2 linked regions of the Drosophila melanogaster genome follow. The protein of the gene in region 1 interacts with the protein of each later gene in a pairwise test. Each region holds a gene or a part of one and is shown in the gene's direction. Other genes may lie near its edges.

Region 1 (8,472 bases):
CCGCACTTGTGCAGCTCGTCATCTGTCTGGGCCCCTTGGCTTCTTGTTTTCTTGGGGTGGGTGTGGTGAGTTGATGTAACATGAGCATGAACATGAGCTCTGCCCGCCAAGCTACCGATGTTATTGACACAGTTTCTGGGCTCGATCGCCGAGTCTAGGGTGCTATGTCGCTGGGTTCACTCAGAAACTGGCGATTGCCTCACATTGTGTCATTCCTCGAACCATGAAGTACTCTCAAAGGCATTTGGCCGACGGTAGAGGTGGGCCGCTGCCAACCAGATAGCCAACAGTAACAGTACCAGCTGAGGTAGCCATCCGGCCGAGTTGATTAACTTGATTGGTAACGCAAAACCGATTCGCCAACACACGTCTCGCACTAGGTGCCGGCTGCCTGGCTTAAGAATCCGGCGGCAAGGCGAGCGTGGAGCGGCTTACTCGCTAAGTAGCTGAGAATCTGAGTGGCTGGCTGGCTGGGTAGCTAAGTAGCTTTCCATGTTGTCCACGCCGCTGGGCGTTGCTCCAAGGACGGCCATTCATCTGCTGTCGCCGGGTGGTTGGTTAGGTAATACCTCAAGAGATCGAACTAACCGGACACCTTTCTTTTTGCAGTTTCGATGACAGCATCTCAACCCGCCGACGCAAGGAGCGTTCGAAGCGTTCGCACCGCAAGTCGCCCGCCGCCAGTCGACGGCAGCACAAATACCGCTACAGGGACGAGACGTCCCATTCGAGCTCCCGCCGGCGGCACCGTGATCGCGCCAAGGACGAACGCGACAGCGGACGCAACAACCGCCAGTCGCAGGCTAAGGTAAAAACTTTTTATTTTATACACACCACAAGTAGCAAACAAGTGAAAATTGTAGGCAGGGCAACGAAAAAAAAAGGAAACCCCAAAGAAAATTCACAAACTGAAAACGAAAGCTAAAAGCAAAACAAAATGGTAAAAGAACAAACTAGGCGGACAGATAGATAATACGAACACACCGGACCGATCTCATTTAACCACCACCTGCGTTTTCCAATCCTTGTGCTGCCATTGCCAAAATCTGTGCCGTCCGTCTGATCAGTGCTAGAAGATCGCTTCCATCGACTCCTCCCCCATCATGCTGTTCTTCAAGCGGTATCTTGAGAAGTCCCAGCAGGTGGCCGATCACTTCGAGAGCTCCCAGATCCCGTGCTACATCAAGATGCGTGATCTGCCGGCGCCACCGGTCGTGGATCACTGTCGCGATCTGATCCTGTCCAGCTGTTCACTGCGTTTTATGCCGTACACGGATGATTGGATAGTCGTTGAGTACTTTGTCGATCACGACAGCGATTATCTAGTAAGCATGTATGTTGTGCTATCAATCGAACCCACCCACCTCCCCTTCCCCTTCTCCTCCTTTTGACTAACCTATCGTTCCTTACTTTTGTGTGCGTCTTGCAGTACACCCTATTCTCGAGTGGATCGGTGAAGTGATCAGCGCGCTATCATGATCGTTCGCCGCTGCACTCGATCCCTCTCTACTTTCTTATCTATGCGGCGTTGAGTTGAGCTAAATTTGTCATTAGATGTGTCACATTGCTCTGGTTCTTGGTCTTCTGGTACAGTGATTACATGGGAAAGTCACTGTAATCAGTGTAACTGAATATGGAAATAAATGCTTCAGGGCTTCAAGAGGCGGAGCACTTGAGTGAGCAGCATGAGTTGATAAGATAGTACTTGAAACAAAGTAACTTGGTTGGGCAAGGCCTTTAAACTGTGTCGAAATTCAGAAACTTAGATGTTACATAATTACAAATAACTATTGGTTTTGTTATTCAAGTGTAGGTTTGAAAAAAAACAGTAGCCACTTTAAATATAATCAAAATTTTAAGAGATAATCATTTTTTAAAAGCTTAGAGCGGAAACTCGGTTTGAGCTGTATTCATCAGTAATAAAATGGTACTTAAATAGAGCAGTTAAGCGAAACCTTGGCAATATTCATGTGCAAATTAAGCAATTTCTATGCGTTCTTCGTGGCATCTAGCTGTATGAAAAACAGCTCTCAATTAAACGAGAACTTTATAGTTCTCATTCACTGTTGGTGGTTCTTTATAGCTACCCCTGTGCCCAACACTCCCCGCTGTTCTAGTTATTTTCGTTCAATTGATCATTTGACATTAACTCGTTGACGGCGGCCAGAGTTTTCTTTGCTGCTCTGAGATGTGATGAGATATTGCTATTGCTGCTGCGGATGATGCGAACTGCTCCTCGCCAGCATTGCCAGTTGCCCATGTCGCCGCCAATTAAGTGGGCTGAGTAACTCGCATAGAATTCCCTCCGCGTCATCGTTTAGTCCCCAGGCCGCCAAGATTCAGTATTTTAAGCAGTTGGAGCAGCAGCTCATCATCCGGAATGGGGCGAATGGCTGTGGCCTGGAAACATATCTGGAGGAGGATGCTTCACCCGGTGACGGAGAGAGCGTGGCCATTACCCGCTGCCTGCTGCTAAAACGGCAACGTAATCACTTTGATCTTGTGGCCCTCAGCGATATGCCTGTGGACAAGTACGCCGGCGACAATTGGATCATCGAGGAGTACTTTGTGGACCACAATGACGACTATCTAGTGAGTCGTCCCCATTCCGAGTCACAGATTGTCGGCGAATATCTTTCGTTTTCTCGTGATGCATTGTCGGTCCTACAATTTTATAGGAACACAACCTTTTTTCAAAAATATTGTGGAAAAAAATATGTACAGTAGTAATTGTAATCCTAACAAATTCCCTTCGTTGTTTTAAACTAAAATTGTTAGTTATAATCTGTATATGTGATATATGTACACATGTCGATTCAAGTCAAATGGTCGTCCATATATTATTCGAATTTCTGCAAACACAAATGTTAAGTCTTCTGGAAATTTTGGCATGATTTATTGGCAATGCTACTGCTTTGACCGCCGCTATATACACCGATTTTACACGGTGCCCACTCACTCTCCCTGTCTATATCATGCCCCCAAATACACACATGTTTATGGGCTCCCGAGAGCGACGCCTTGGGGATTCCTCTCCGCACTGTGCGCATGTTCGTCTAAACTACCTATGGCCCATGGCGCACAGCTGATACTTCTTTCTCGGAGATGCGCGCGCAGCTTCATCCGGCGGAAAAGCATCTACTTGCCATTTGCTCCGTGGCCATTGGAAAATTATAAATACACGCGCCGCCGAAAGTCTGCGCTCTTCTCATCTGCGGCCAGTTTTCGGCTGAGAATTTTCAAATTCGAGGAAACCGAAACAGATTGAAATCTACGTTTGTTGGCTGTGTGTCGCCGCCACTGCTGCCATATAAACCATATAAACTACATATTGTCGTCGCTTCGTCTTCGTCGTGTAACGGTACGGGTACCACGGGGATCCCCCGCACACTCGCTGTCTCTCTCTATCCGGTCAGATCCCCCCGATCTCTATATTGATCGTCTCCTTTCGCGCAATTTGTTTATCGATGTGTGTGTGTGCGTGTGTGGTGTGTGTGCGTTTCTTGTGCTTTGAATATTCCTTTTCTTTTTGTATTTGGCTGAGAAACACCAAATAATCGAATAGAACAATAATTAGAGGTACATACGGAGCGTATGTGCAATATAGAAACGCATTTCGGAACGATAGGATAGGTAGAACAATTGCTGGGCACCGTGACATAATCAAGCGCAAGAACAAAAAACAACCCAAAACTTAGAACATTTAAGTGTTTTAAAAATAAAACAGTAGCAGTGCGGCAAGAACAAAATTGTCGAAAGCGAAAAAAACATCAAACAAAACACTGAGTGTTAAAAAAAAGTGCGCGATATTCATCGGACTGTATTTGTTTAAACAAAACGCGATGCAAGATACCATAGCCAAACTGTTTTATTGACCCCCCGCCAATGGTGGCGAGTGTATAATTCGGAATAATATCAAGTGGGATACCATCCAGCCTGATGAGCAGCTGTGAAACGTCCAAAACGCTGATAGTGAACTTTGCACTTCTCCACCAAGTTTGCAATTAGCGAGGCGAAAGATACTTTTAATAGAAATAGCGTATGGGGATGGAGGAGACTAGTGCAACATTCACTCAATCGAATACACAGATAGAAATGAAGATAGTTTAAAAACATTTTGGACTATGGAATGATATATATCTTCAAACCATATTTCTTTGTTAACTATGTTCCAAAAGTTTAAGGGTCAACAAGTAAAAACAGTTTAGTTACTATTGTGCTTAGATAATATGGTGAATATGTTTTCTGTGTACTCGGAGATGAAGGCGAAGAAGACAACGCAGCGGCCAAGCAAATCAAAACAAAAACTCAAAACTAACAAATGGAGCACACACGTGTGTGTCCGTTAGTGTGTGTGCCACATAGATACAAACTATCTATATGTGCGCTACAGATCGGCGGGATTATTCATCAGGCTGCCACATCATCATCATGTTGATCTCCGCCGCTCCGGCGTCTCCTTCCGCTGCCCTCCATCCTCCACTTTCCGCTTAGCTGGCGTTTTCTATAATTTTCGAAAGCTATTTTCGTAAGGCTTGCATTTATATTTAGTTGCCACAACAAACTTATAGCAAAAATCCAAGACACAAACTTGTACATGATTAAATTTTGGCCATATGATGATGCCAACCAAAATAAAAGTCAACTGGGGTGGAAAACTTTTCCCCTTCAGATTTTCCAACTCGAATGTGTGTGCTTTCGGTACAGTGAAAGCTAAGCCAGAGCTCAGCAAAGATCAGAAAATTAATGGAAACTCAAAGTGAATTAAAAAATCCAATCAGTCGAATGTGATTATCAGAGATCAGAGATGCATCTTCCAAATGAGAGCTGTCAGTTCAATTTGCATGGCTGATCGAGGTTTCACTGTACTGGCACTAGCGTCACACGTACTGTGTACTAGGTATAACGTCGTCCATTTGTTAAAAATAAAAACAGATTTCGAACCGAACACAGAATGGCAGGGAAAGATGCCCAATGAACCCCACCGAGATATCACACATAGGCTAAAACGATCTCTCCAGGGATATTCACACATATTCCACACATCGCAATAGATTTAGGGCAAGGTGCAGATCTTTTGGCTAGAATCGCAAAGGGGTAGGGGGTTTGCTTTTTGATGAGGCGGCGCCGCGATCAATGAGCTCATTGCTGTTTACGATTTGTAATTTGTATATGTCTCTGCTCTATATACCAAAACAAATTGGGGGTGCTATACATGCTTGTACCCATATATATGTCGGATGTATATGGGCGCCAAAAAGAAGCAGTCTTTGGTCGAACGGCGACCATTGATACAATTAGTAAGTCAAGTCGTCGGGCATTTGCCAAAATGCCAATGAGACATTGACATTGAGCGTGCGATCGATTGTTCCGATCCGATCTGATCCGAATAGAACCAATACGAAATAATCCGATGTTGCGCAGGTTTCCTTTGGGGCCAACATTGGCAGCCTCGCGAGTCTTGCCCAGCTAGTCGAACCCAACGCAATTCGAGGGAGCCGCCAGTGCAATATTAGATAATCGAGTAATTTTTCCCCTTGGGATCCAGAAAGAAAGCTGACAATCAACCGAAAAGTTCACCACACCCCTTGGAATGTCCAACGAACTTAGCGAACTGATCGCCCTTGGCTGTCCAGACCTCGCGGCGCAAAAGCCGCAGGGCGGTAGCACCCAGGTGGAGTTGATCCTCAATACTGAGCGCCGCCTGAGCATAAAGCAGATGACGGCCACGGATTTGGCCACACTTAGGGCAGCAGCAGCCGCAGAAGCGGAGGCCAGATCTCGAGCACAGGCGGAGGCGGAAGCTCTAGCAATTGCCCAGGAACAGTTTCGTCAGGCCCGCGAGGCCGAGTCCAAGGCCAGAGCACGTGCTGCCCTCGAGGTGCAGGCTCAGCTGCAGCGGGTGATGGAGAGCGAGAAACGCAGGCAACAGGAAGAGGAGGAACGGCGCATCAGGCAACAGGCAGAGGAGGAGCAGGAGGATGATGAAGACGACGACAACGATGAGGAAGAGGAACTAACCAAGGGTTCCCTTCCAACCAATTCAGGTCCAAGAGAACGCATTGCTTCGCTACCCTGCAACATAGATGATGCCATGGAGATGCACCTTCTTAACGTTTCGCAGCCGAAGGCCTCTTCCAAAGATGACTCACCGCCTAAGAAGAGTACCTCTCACATAGCTGACTCGATTGAGCTGCTGAGAATGCAGCGAGCTGCTCGGGATGCCCGTTCCCACAATCGTAGTCGAGAGCGTTCCATTTCGCCAGATCGTAATCGCGAAAGGAGCGCTGCTCCAGATCGCCTCCAGAGTTCTGCCAGCATGAGCAGCTTGGACTCGGCCAGTGCATCGGCATCCAGACAACCTAGCAAGGCAGGCAGTCGACGTGGTAGCACCACGAGTGCCACCGGTGTGGAACCACCACTTATGGCAGCACCTCCACAGCCTACCAAATTTCCACTCACTAAGACGGTGTCAGCGCCTAACATGGACCGGCGGCGGAGCAGTCTGACATCACTCTTTCCTGGGCCATCGCCATTGGTGGCACCCGAACCATCTCTGCACACTAATCCCGATCCAAGGGTTCAAGAACAGATTGAAGAGGATCGTCGTCGGCGGCGAATGGACGATGGTTACCGTGAGATACCCAGTGGAAAAATGGTGCATCGAACGAAGACACCGCCACCAGTGGGCACTAACCTTGGAGTGAGCCTCAAGCGGGTGACAGCGCCCAGTGGATCGATAACCATCAAGCCCAAGGAATCGCCCATGCTGGGAGTCGTCCTGCGTAGAGTGGAGAAAAAAACTGTACCGCAAAAGAGCATTCTAGACGACGATAAACCACTGTACCACTTCTCCATTGTGCGCAGCGACCACAAGGAACACGTGCCTGCTCAGAAACCAAAACCCAAGCCTGCTCCTCCAGCTGCTAAACCAAGTCCCGGTGGCATCCTTACTGGACCCCAAGTAATTCGAAACGCTCCCAAGCAACCTGTGCCCGTCAAGCCACAGCGTCCTATGCCCGGCGTTCCCATCACTATCACCAAGATCGAGGGCGACAAGATTATCATCATCAAGAAGATCATTGTGCCTAAGAACAGTAAGATACCGGAGCAGTATCTGCAGGTTGGTCGTCGTCGTGTTGGTGATCGCCTTGTGGTGTCTGTAGTTCGTCTGGTGTTTGGTGTCTCCTTCCTCTTGTGCTTTGTTCGAAATCTGTTTTATAGAATTTACCTCGATGGTAGGAACACGTTAATACACTTGGGAATAGTTATGGGTTGTAAAATAAGGAAGTGCAATGGTTTGATTGTGTAAGATATAACAATACCATAAATAAACGCACACACACATAACACACAAAACCGCGATAAAGGCTGAATGAACGGGTTTTGATTGAAAACTGATTGCAAAACAAGCTGAATCAACGGATTCAGTTGAAATCGGATCTTTTATTCATAGAACCCAAAACGGTTCGCAGTGCGCGATTGTTTCCTATAGATGAGTGAAGATGCCGGCAAGCCAGCAAATACAGTGCCCTCAGCGGTATCCTCCTCCGCAGCCCCATCGCCAAGCCTAAGAACAAAAGAGGAATCCCAGCCAGCTATGCAGAAACCTACGCCGCCGCCGGCCAGTGGCCAGCAGTTCTTTCAGGTGGTCTCCCCGCAGTTCGCCTCTGTGCTATCATCCAGCATCCCGGAGAGCAAGTGTGCGGTGCGTTCTCCCATATCGTCGCCACTAGCAATCCGGAAGAGTCGTCCACCTCTGCTGCCGTCGAGTCCAAAGTCCACTCCTCCACTACCGCGGAAACATCACCCTTTGGCTTACAACGCGGCAACTGGAACAATCAGCAGTGCCTCTGGAGCAGCGTTGCCTTCCCGGTTAATGGCCACCATTGCCTCCAGCCCGGCTTCTAGTATATCGCTGTCCTCCTGTAGTTCACCTTCATCATCTCCACCACCGCCAGTACCATGTCGAGCTCCTAAGAATGCCAGTAGACCTGTTGCTGTGACTGCTGCTCCACCTCCATCCACCTCGAACGAAATCAGTTTGGACAAGTTGCTGCAACAGCAGCAGGAGCTAGAGGAGAAATCCGCGGCAGCCACAAACAGCGCAAAAATGGATGCAAACTTCTACGATGCCGAGATTGAGATGATGAACAAGTATCTTAAGAGTCTGCCTGACTACAGCGAACTGGACAGGAAGCTGCACCAGGAGTTCCAGGAGTGCGAGGATCTCTATGACAAGATCAAGCGTCAGCAGCAGCCGCTGGCCAAGTCCAATTCGCAGCAATCGGTCACGAAGGCAGTAGGACCAGGAGTGCCTGCGATCTCCTCCGGCTTATCAAAGTCTTCTTCAATTAACTTCGCCCAGAATCCCAGCAGTCGTGGAGCTGCTCCGCGTTTGGCCTATCCTTCGATATTTTCCCAGGCTGCAGGCGAACCCAAGCTGCAGCGCAGCATTTCAAGTTCTAATAT
Region 2 (6,031 bases), 320 kb from region 1:
TGCTGCCGCTATTAACACAGCATTTCGCTGCTCTCCAATTTTAATTTCAGGCCAAAGGAATGAAGCCGGAACACCTTTCAACCCCGTGGGCCATTGTTAGTGCTCCGTGGCTAGGGATAGATGGCTACTGTATGGCCACTTGCTGCACGGCCATGAAGCTACTCCTCCCACACGATTTGCTTCACGCTCATTTAAATGCCAACGCACCGCAGGGAGGAGAGAGCAGGGCACTTCACTTCGGCGGCTCGGCTGGCTTATTTACATATTTTCTAAATGAATATGGGCCCCGCGAGTTTGCAACCCCGACCGGCGGTGGCAAAGCCGAGAAGCGCATTCAGTTGCAACGGCCGCGGCAGCTGGCTTTCCCTGCACTGGATTTCCACTTCCTCCTGGTCGAAGCAGCCGCAGCAGCAGCAGCAATAACAATCAGGAACAGCAGCAGCAGCAGCAACAAGAAGCCGTCAAACGCCGCAACTAATTGATATAATAGTTAAAAGAACAAACTAACGAGAAAGAGGTTGTCGTCGTCGAACGCGGCGCGTTGGAGAAGTGCAAAACCTTTCCAATTTGAAAATAGTTTTCCTGCTATGTGTGCTCGTTCCCACAAGCGCGGCAATACCAACTCATACCAACCCACGGCTCCAACACCACCAGATGCAGCAACAACTGCATCAACAGCAACATCGGCTCAGAACAAGCACAAGCAGCGAAAGCCTGCACTTCGCCAAGCGGTGATTGGGAAAAGGGGCTGCAGCTGGAGTTGGAGTTGCAGCCAGAGTAGAAGCTGGAGCTGGAGCTGGAGAAGATGACAATGCAGCGATTAGAGCAATGCAGAACTTGAACTCTACGACGGCGGCAGCTGGAAAAATGTTTGCCCCGATCCCCGGGACACCGACTCAGTCACTCAGTCCGTCCCAATGCGCGGCATTTCCGTTCGGAAAAAAAAGAGGATGCTGTCGAGAAGGAAGGCCCTCGATCGATTCGATGCTGATGCATTCTGCAGGGGTGGGGGGAACGTAGTGATCATGTTTGTAGCATCTAAATAAAGTACCTGTAATGGTTTTCATTAAGTAATGCGTCGTCTTTGGCTTCTTGGTTTATGAACACGGCAAATATTTAATGTGAGATAAAAAATGTTCAATATTCAGATCATTGACCTAAACAACAGAAGAACTTAAGGATGTCAACAATATATAAACTTCACAAATACTGCTTTCTTTGACGTTGTAATATAAATAAAACGTTTTTATATTAAATTAAAAATCTTCCTTAAATTCATCTTCCATCTTAACATAGTTCGCTGCTGTTAACATCGATTAGGCTGCTATTCGCAGAGATTATGTTTTCCCTTTACAACACTGTATTTAAATTTAAATTATGAAATATCAGGCAATACTAAACAGTATGCTAAATATAAATATAAAACGAGATCACAGATATCTTCATAGGGGAACACTTTAAATTCAAAAAAATACGGGTCGTTTTAGAATAAACGCACCTTATTTGAAATTGGATCTTTCTTACTAACGATCAGTTAGTGGTGGAACGCCTTGCGCTTAACAGCACGCTGTTATTGAAACCCCACTTATTGGACTTTATTTACAAATTGAAATGTGATAAATAAATATACCAAAAACGATAATGATTTATGTTTTTAGGTATAATTTAACATCGAGGTCGAATAGAAATCATCGATGACCAAAATGGCCTAGGAAATATCGATATATCGCCGTAACCATGATGACTCCTGCAGCCCTGTTTCCGTCCCTTCTCTTCTTCGTTTCCGGTGAGTGCGTGTGCTCCGCGTTTTTTCGCTGAATTTGCCACTATATCGTATTTAATACTGTATTTGCAGGCAGACGATTTAAACGGCGAATCCACCATGGTGAAAGGAGTACGTACGCACAAGGGCAGTGAGGATTTTCCAATCCGTGGCTTCGAGCCATGTGAATTTGCGAATTTCCAGATGCCGGTTAGCTGCCACGATATCACAACTAATCCACCCATATTTGCAGACTCTGTACACTTACCCCGAGAACTTCCGGGCCTACAAGGCGCTCATCGCAGCCCAGTACTCCGGAGCCCAGGTGAAAGTGGCCGACAACTTCAAGTTCGGCGAGACCAACAAGTCGGCTGAGTTCCTCAAGAAGTTCCCCGGTGGCAAGGTGAGTCCGCTTTTTTTGTGGGTGTGGCTAGTGCCAGGTCATCAACACGATATGTGCCCGTAGGTGCCCGCCTTTGAGACCGCCGAAGGACAGTACTTGAGCGAGTCCAATGCCATCGCCTACCTGCTGGCCAACGAGCAGCTGCGCGGCGGAAAGTGCCCCTTCGTGCAGGCCCAGGTCCAGCAGTGGATCTCCTTCGCCGACAACGAGATTGTGCCTGCCTCCTGTGCCTGGGTCTTCCCCCTGCTGGGCATTCTGCCGCAGCAGAAGAACAGCACTGCCAAGCAAGAGGCCGAGGCTGTGCTGCAGCAGCTCAACCAGAAGCTGCAGGACGCCACCTTCCTGGCCGGCGAGAGGATCACATTGGCCGACATTGTGGTCTTCAGCAGTCTGCTCCACCTGTACGAGTACGTCCTGGAGCCCAGTGTGCGCAGTGCCTTCGGCAACGTGAACCGCTGGTTCGTCACCATCCTCAACCAGAAGCAGGTCCAGGCCGTCGTCAAGGACTACAAGCTGTGCGAGAAGGCCCTGGTCTTCGACCCCAAGAAGTACGCCGAGTTCCAGGCCAAGACCGGAGCCGCCAAGCCCCAGCAGCAGGCTCAGCAGCAGAAGCAGGAGAAGAAGCCCAAGGAAAAGAAGGAGGCGCCCAAGAAGGCTGCCGAGCCCGCCGAGGAGTTGGACGCCGCCGATGAGGCCCTGGCCGCCGAGCCCAAGTCCAAGGACCCCTTCGATGCGCTGCCCAAGGGCACCTTCAACTTCGATGACTTCAAGCGCGTGTACTCCAACGAGGACGAGGCCAAGTCCATTCCCTACTTCTTCGATAAGTTCGATGCCGAGAACTACTCGATCTGGTTTGGCGAGTACAAATACAACGAGGAGCTGTCCAAGGTGTTCATGTCGTGCAATCTCATCACCGGCATGTTCCAGCGTCTGGACAAGATGCGCAAGGCGGCCTTCGCCTCCGTTTGCCTGTTCGGCGAGGACGGCAACAGCACCATCTCCGGTATCTGGGTGTGGCGCGGACAGGATCTGGCCTTCACGCTCTCCCCCGACTGGCAGATCGACTACGAGGTCTACGACTGGAAGAAGCTCGACGCCAAGAGCGAGGAGACCAAGAAGCTGGTCACCCAGTACTTCTCCTGGTCCGGCACCGACAAGGACGGTCGCAAGTTCAACCAGGGCAAGATCTTCAAGTAATCATCTCTGCCTAGCCCAGCTCCGCTCAAAGCAGCAGCCGCCCTCATTTAGACCAACAACAACAACAGCAGCAGTAACAATAAAGTTTGAGATTTAAAATGCAGGAAGAGCACAATGCCCATTTCTTAAGTTCCAACTGATAAGTACACTAAAGATATCCAATATCTGTCGTGCTGCCTCCCACGTTTGGCGGAATCGTGTGTCTCGCCTCCTGCATTTTGTACTGGAGAATTTGTTTGTAACCGCCTAAGCATAACACAGCATGATATTGTCAACGGAACAGCCGCCTGCAGTCAGAAAATATTTATAAAAAATAAAAGGTTTTCTATTAATAACAGCACGGTTTTCTCTCACACGTGTGTGTATGTGTGTGTGTGGTTTATTTGGTTGTTGGTAAAGGTTAGGTCTGGCATTTATTAGTAATTAGAATTAAGCATATCGATTTGAATTTATGTTTGGGCAATTTTATTGGCTCCTTTTAACTTAATCCATCAATATCATCAATTATTGCTTACAATTACAAGGGTTCAAACAGCTTCGGCCACTACTATTGGTTTTAAAAGCAAACTGGAGCTCAGCGAGAGGAAATGCTAGAACGTTTGTGTATCGATGCACCGCCGCAATCTACTTCTTGATGACAATTGGTCCGACGTTGTCTCCAGTCTGCTTGTTGTGCTCGCCATGACTGCCATCGCAGTAGGGCCACTGCGAATAGAGGATTCAATTGAAAATTTTGTTCACAATATTTCAGAGGTTAGAATGCACTCACGTTCTTGGTCTTCCAGCAGCGACAGAAGGCCGCCTTCTCCGCAATATCCTCCACGTCGATCATGTCCACCACCTTGGGCTCGTTCTTGCGGATGTGGTTGTTGCAGCGTCCGCTGTTTTTGGCCGCGCAGCTGGCCCGTGCCGCCGGACAGTAGGCCAGGTAGGCGGTGTAGCCGAGTCCGGCCACCACCACGGTGGGTGGGATCAGGGCCAACCAATCCTTGACTGCAAACGAAACCAGGTTAATACGGAATGCAGTGCATTTTAAGCTTTATAACTAGATATTTTGGTCGATCAGCCGTAACCGGCACAAGGTCGTTCCCTACACACATATTGGGTTATAAACGCACCAAGATATGCGCATATATGTTTATAGGTATACCCATGTTGGTATGCCTGTATTATGCGTCTATCTAGTTGCCTATCTGCGAGACAAACTTGCTCCAATTATAAATTTCTTGGCGAGCTCAGCAGTTGTTGCATAATCGCTGCAACTTTTTTGCCTGGAAGTGCACACACTGCACTTCCAATTCCCGTTAGCAGCTCCGCAATATCACGCCACATTTGCACCTTAGTAGTCCATTTAGTTGGCCCCCCTAGATGCTGCGTCATTATCGTGGATTTGGGTTTATGTGGGGCGCCCTTTGAAGGCAAATCAAATTCCAATGGGCAAAACCACGCTCATTGCCCAAACTTACAGGAGAGCTTAAACCAGCCGCCGATGCTGTCGGGAACCGGCAGACTTGACAAGTAATTGGGCAGCGAGGACTTCACCAGATGTGATATGGGCTCCATTTCGAAACGCCTTTTTTATTTAACTGGCTATTAAATTCGGAAAACTTGTTTTTGTGTTGCTATCGGTTAGCGGTGCTAGCAAATCGATAAGCCAGTCCTATCGGTATCGCAGTGCTAGGGTCACACTGCATTTTCGACGATAGGCAGTATTACAGATTCGTGTGTAGTCATCGATAGCATTCTGTTTTGTTTACGAATTATTGATTGAAATCAATAAATTGCAGTTTAGAATGTCTGCCGGGGTACAAGAGCGCCTGCAACTGAGCCGCATGCCGCTGGACACGTGGTCGAAGCGGGAGCAGCTCATCCTGGCGTCGGCGGTCTCCTGCAGCGGCGACCAGAACTGGATCACGGTGAGCCGCACGCTGAAGACGATCTGCGGCAATGGCAGCAGTAACCGACCGGCGGACTGGTTCTCGCAGAAGAACTGTGCCATGCAGTACGGCAATCTGCTGGAGAGCGTGGAGGCCACCAAGCGCAAGAAGCGCAGCAGCGAAAGCAGTGCCGGCGTCTCCTCGCCGGCCACCGTGGAGACGCCCACAGAATTGCTGCTCCGTCGGCTCACGGAGGAGCGTCAGGCGGAGATCAAGGCGCAGATGCGTCAGGATCAGGAGACTTACCGACGCATCCAGCGGGAGATTGAGTCGCTGCAATCGGACGCGGTGACCGAGCAGGAGCTGCAGGACATGTGGCTGGAGATCGAGAAGGAGCAGGAGGCGCGCCGCATCGAGGAGATGAAGCTGGAGAATCGCATGCGGGAGCGCGAGCAGCGCAAGAAGGACCTGGCCAGCAACTGGCGAAACAGCAGTCTAGCCGTCAAGCGTTCCAACCAAGCTGCCGACACGACTTCCGTCGATATGGACGTGGAGGACATAAACACCAGTGGCAATGGCAAACAGCAGACGGGTCCTTCGCCTCTACTCACATCTCTCCTGAAATCGCCCACAGGCAATGCACCTGCAACGCCCACCCCAGGAGGAGCTGCACCAGCAGCCGGAGGAACTGGCAGCGTGGCCAGGGCTACGGCGCCAACCATCACCTCGCTGCTGACCAGCGGTCCAAGCTCAGCTGTTGCCAATCAGCCAGTCATCACCATGAAGAGCCCC

What was found. Proteins that work in one complex are often made in the same cells at the same time.
Region 2: the proteins of Doa (region 1) and eEF1gamma interact in a two-hybrid assay, tested with the Drosophila melanogaster proteins (one study listed by BioGRID).

What each region holds. Positions count from the first base shown.
Region 1 is NT_033777.3:28,900,215-28,908,686, forward strand, and holds the start of Doa (darkener of apricot), read left to right. Parts: upstream 1-3,263; 5' UTR 3,264-3,361; intron 3,362-5,424; exon of another isoform or gene 5,425-5,548; 5' UTR 5,549-5,593; coding exon 5,594-7,123; intron 7,124-7,475; exon of another isoform or gene 7,476-7,495; coding exon 7,496-8,472. UniProt on the Drosophila melanogaster protein: Dual specificity kinase involved in the negative regulation of microtubule-based transport through phsophorylation of the microtuble-binding protein eEF1gamma.
Region 2 is NT_033777.3:29,218,415-29,224,445, forward strand, and holds eEF1gamma (eukaryotic translation elongation factor 1 gamma), read left to right. Parts: upstream 1-1,757; 5' UTR 1,758-1,786; exon of another isoform or gene 1,787-1,790; intron 1,791-1,849; exon of another isoform or gene 1,850-1,855; 5' UTR 1,856-1,882; coding exon 1,883-1,894; intron 1,895-2,015; coding exon 2,016-2,165; intron 2,166-2,228; coding exon 2,229-3,362; 3' UTR 3,363-3,695; downstream 3,696-6,031. Other genes in the region: Cisd2 (CDGSH iron sulfur domain 2), read right to left, coding at 3,987-4,067, 4,132-4,355, 4,829-4,925; Brd8 (bromodomain containing 8), read left to right, coding at 5,156-6,031. UniProt on the Drosophila melanogaster protein: Microtubule binding protein involved in regulation of microtubule-based transport. Probably plays a role in anchoring the EF-1 complex to other cellular components.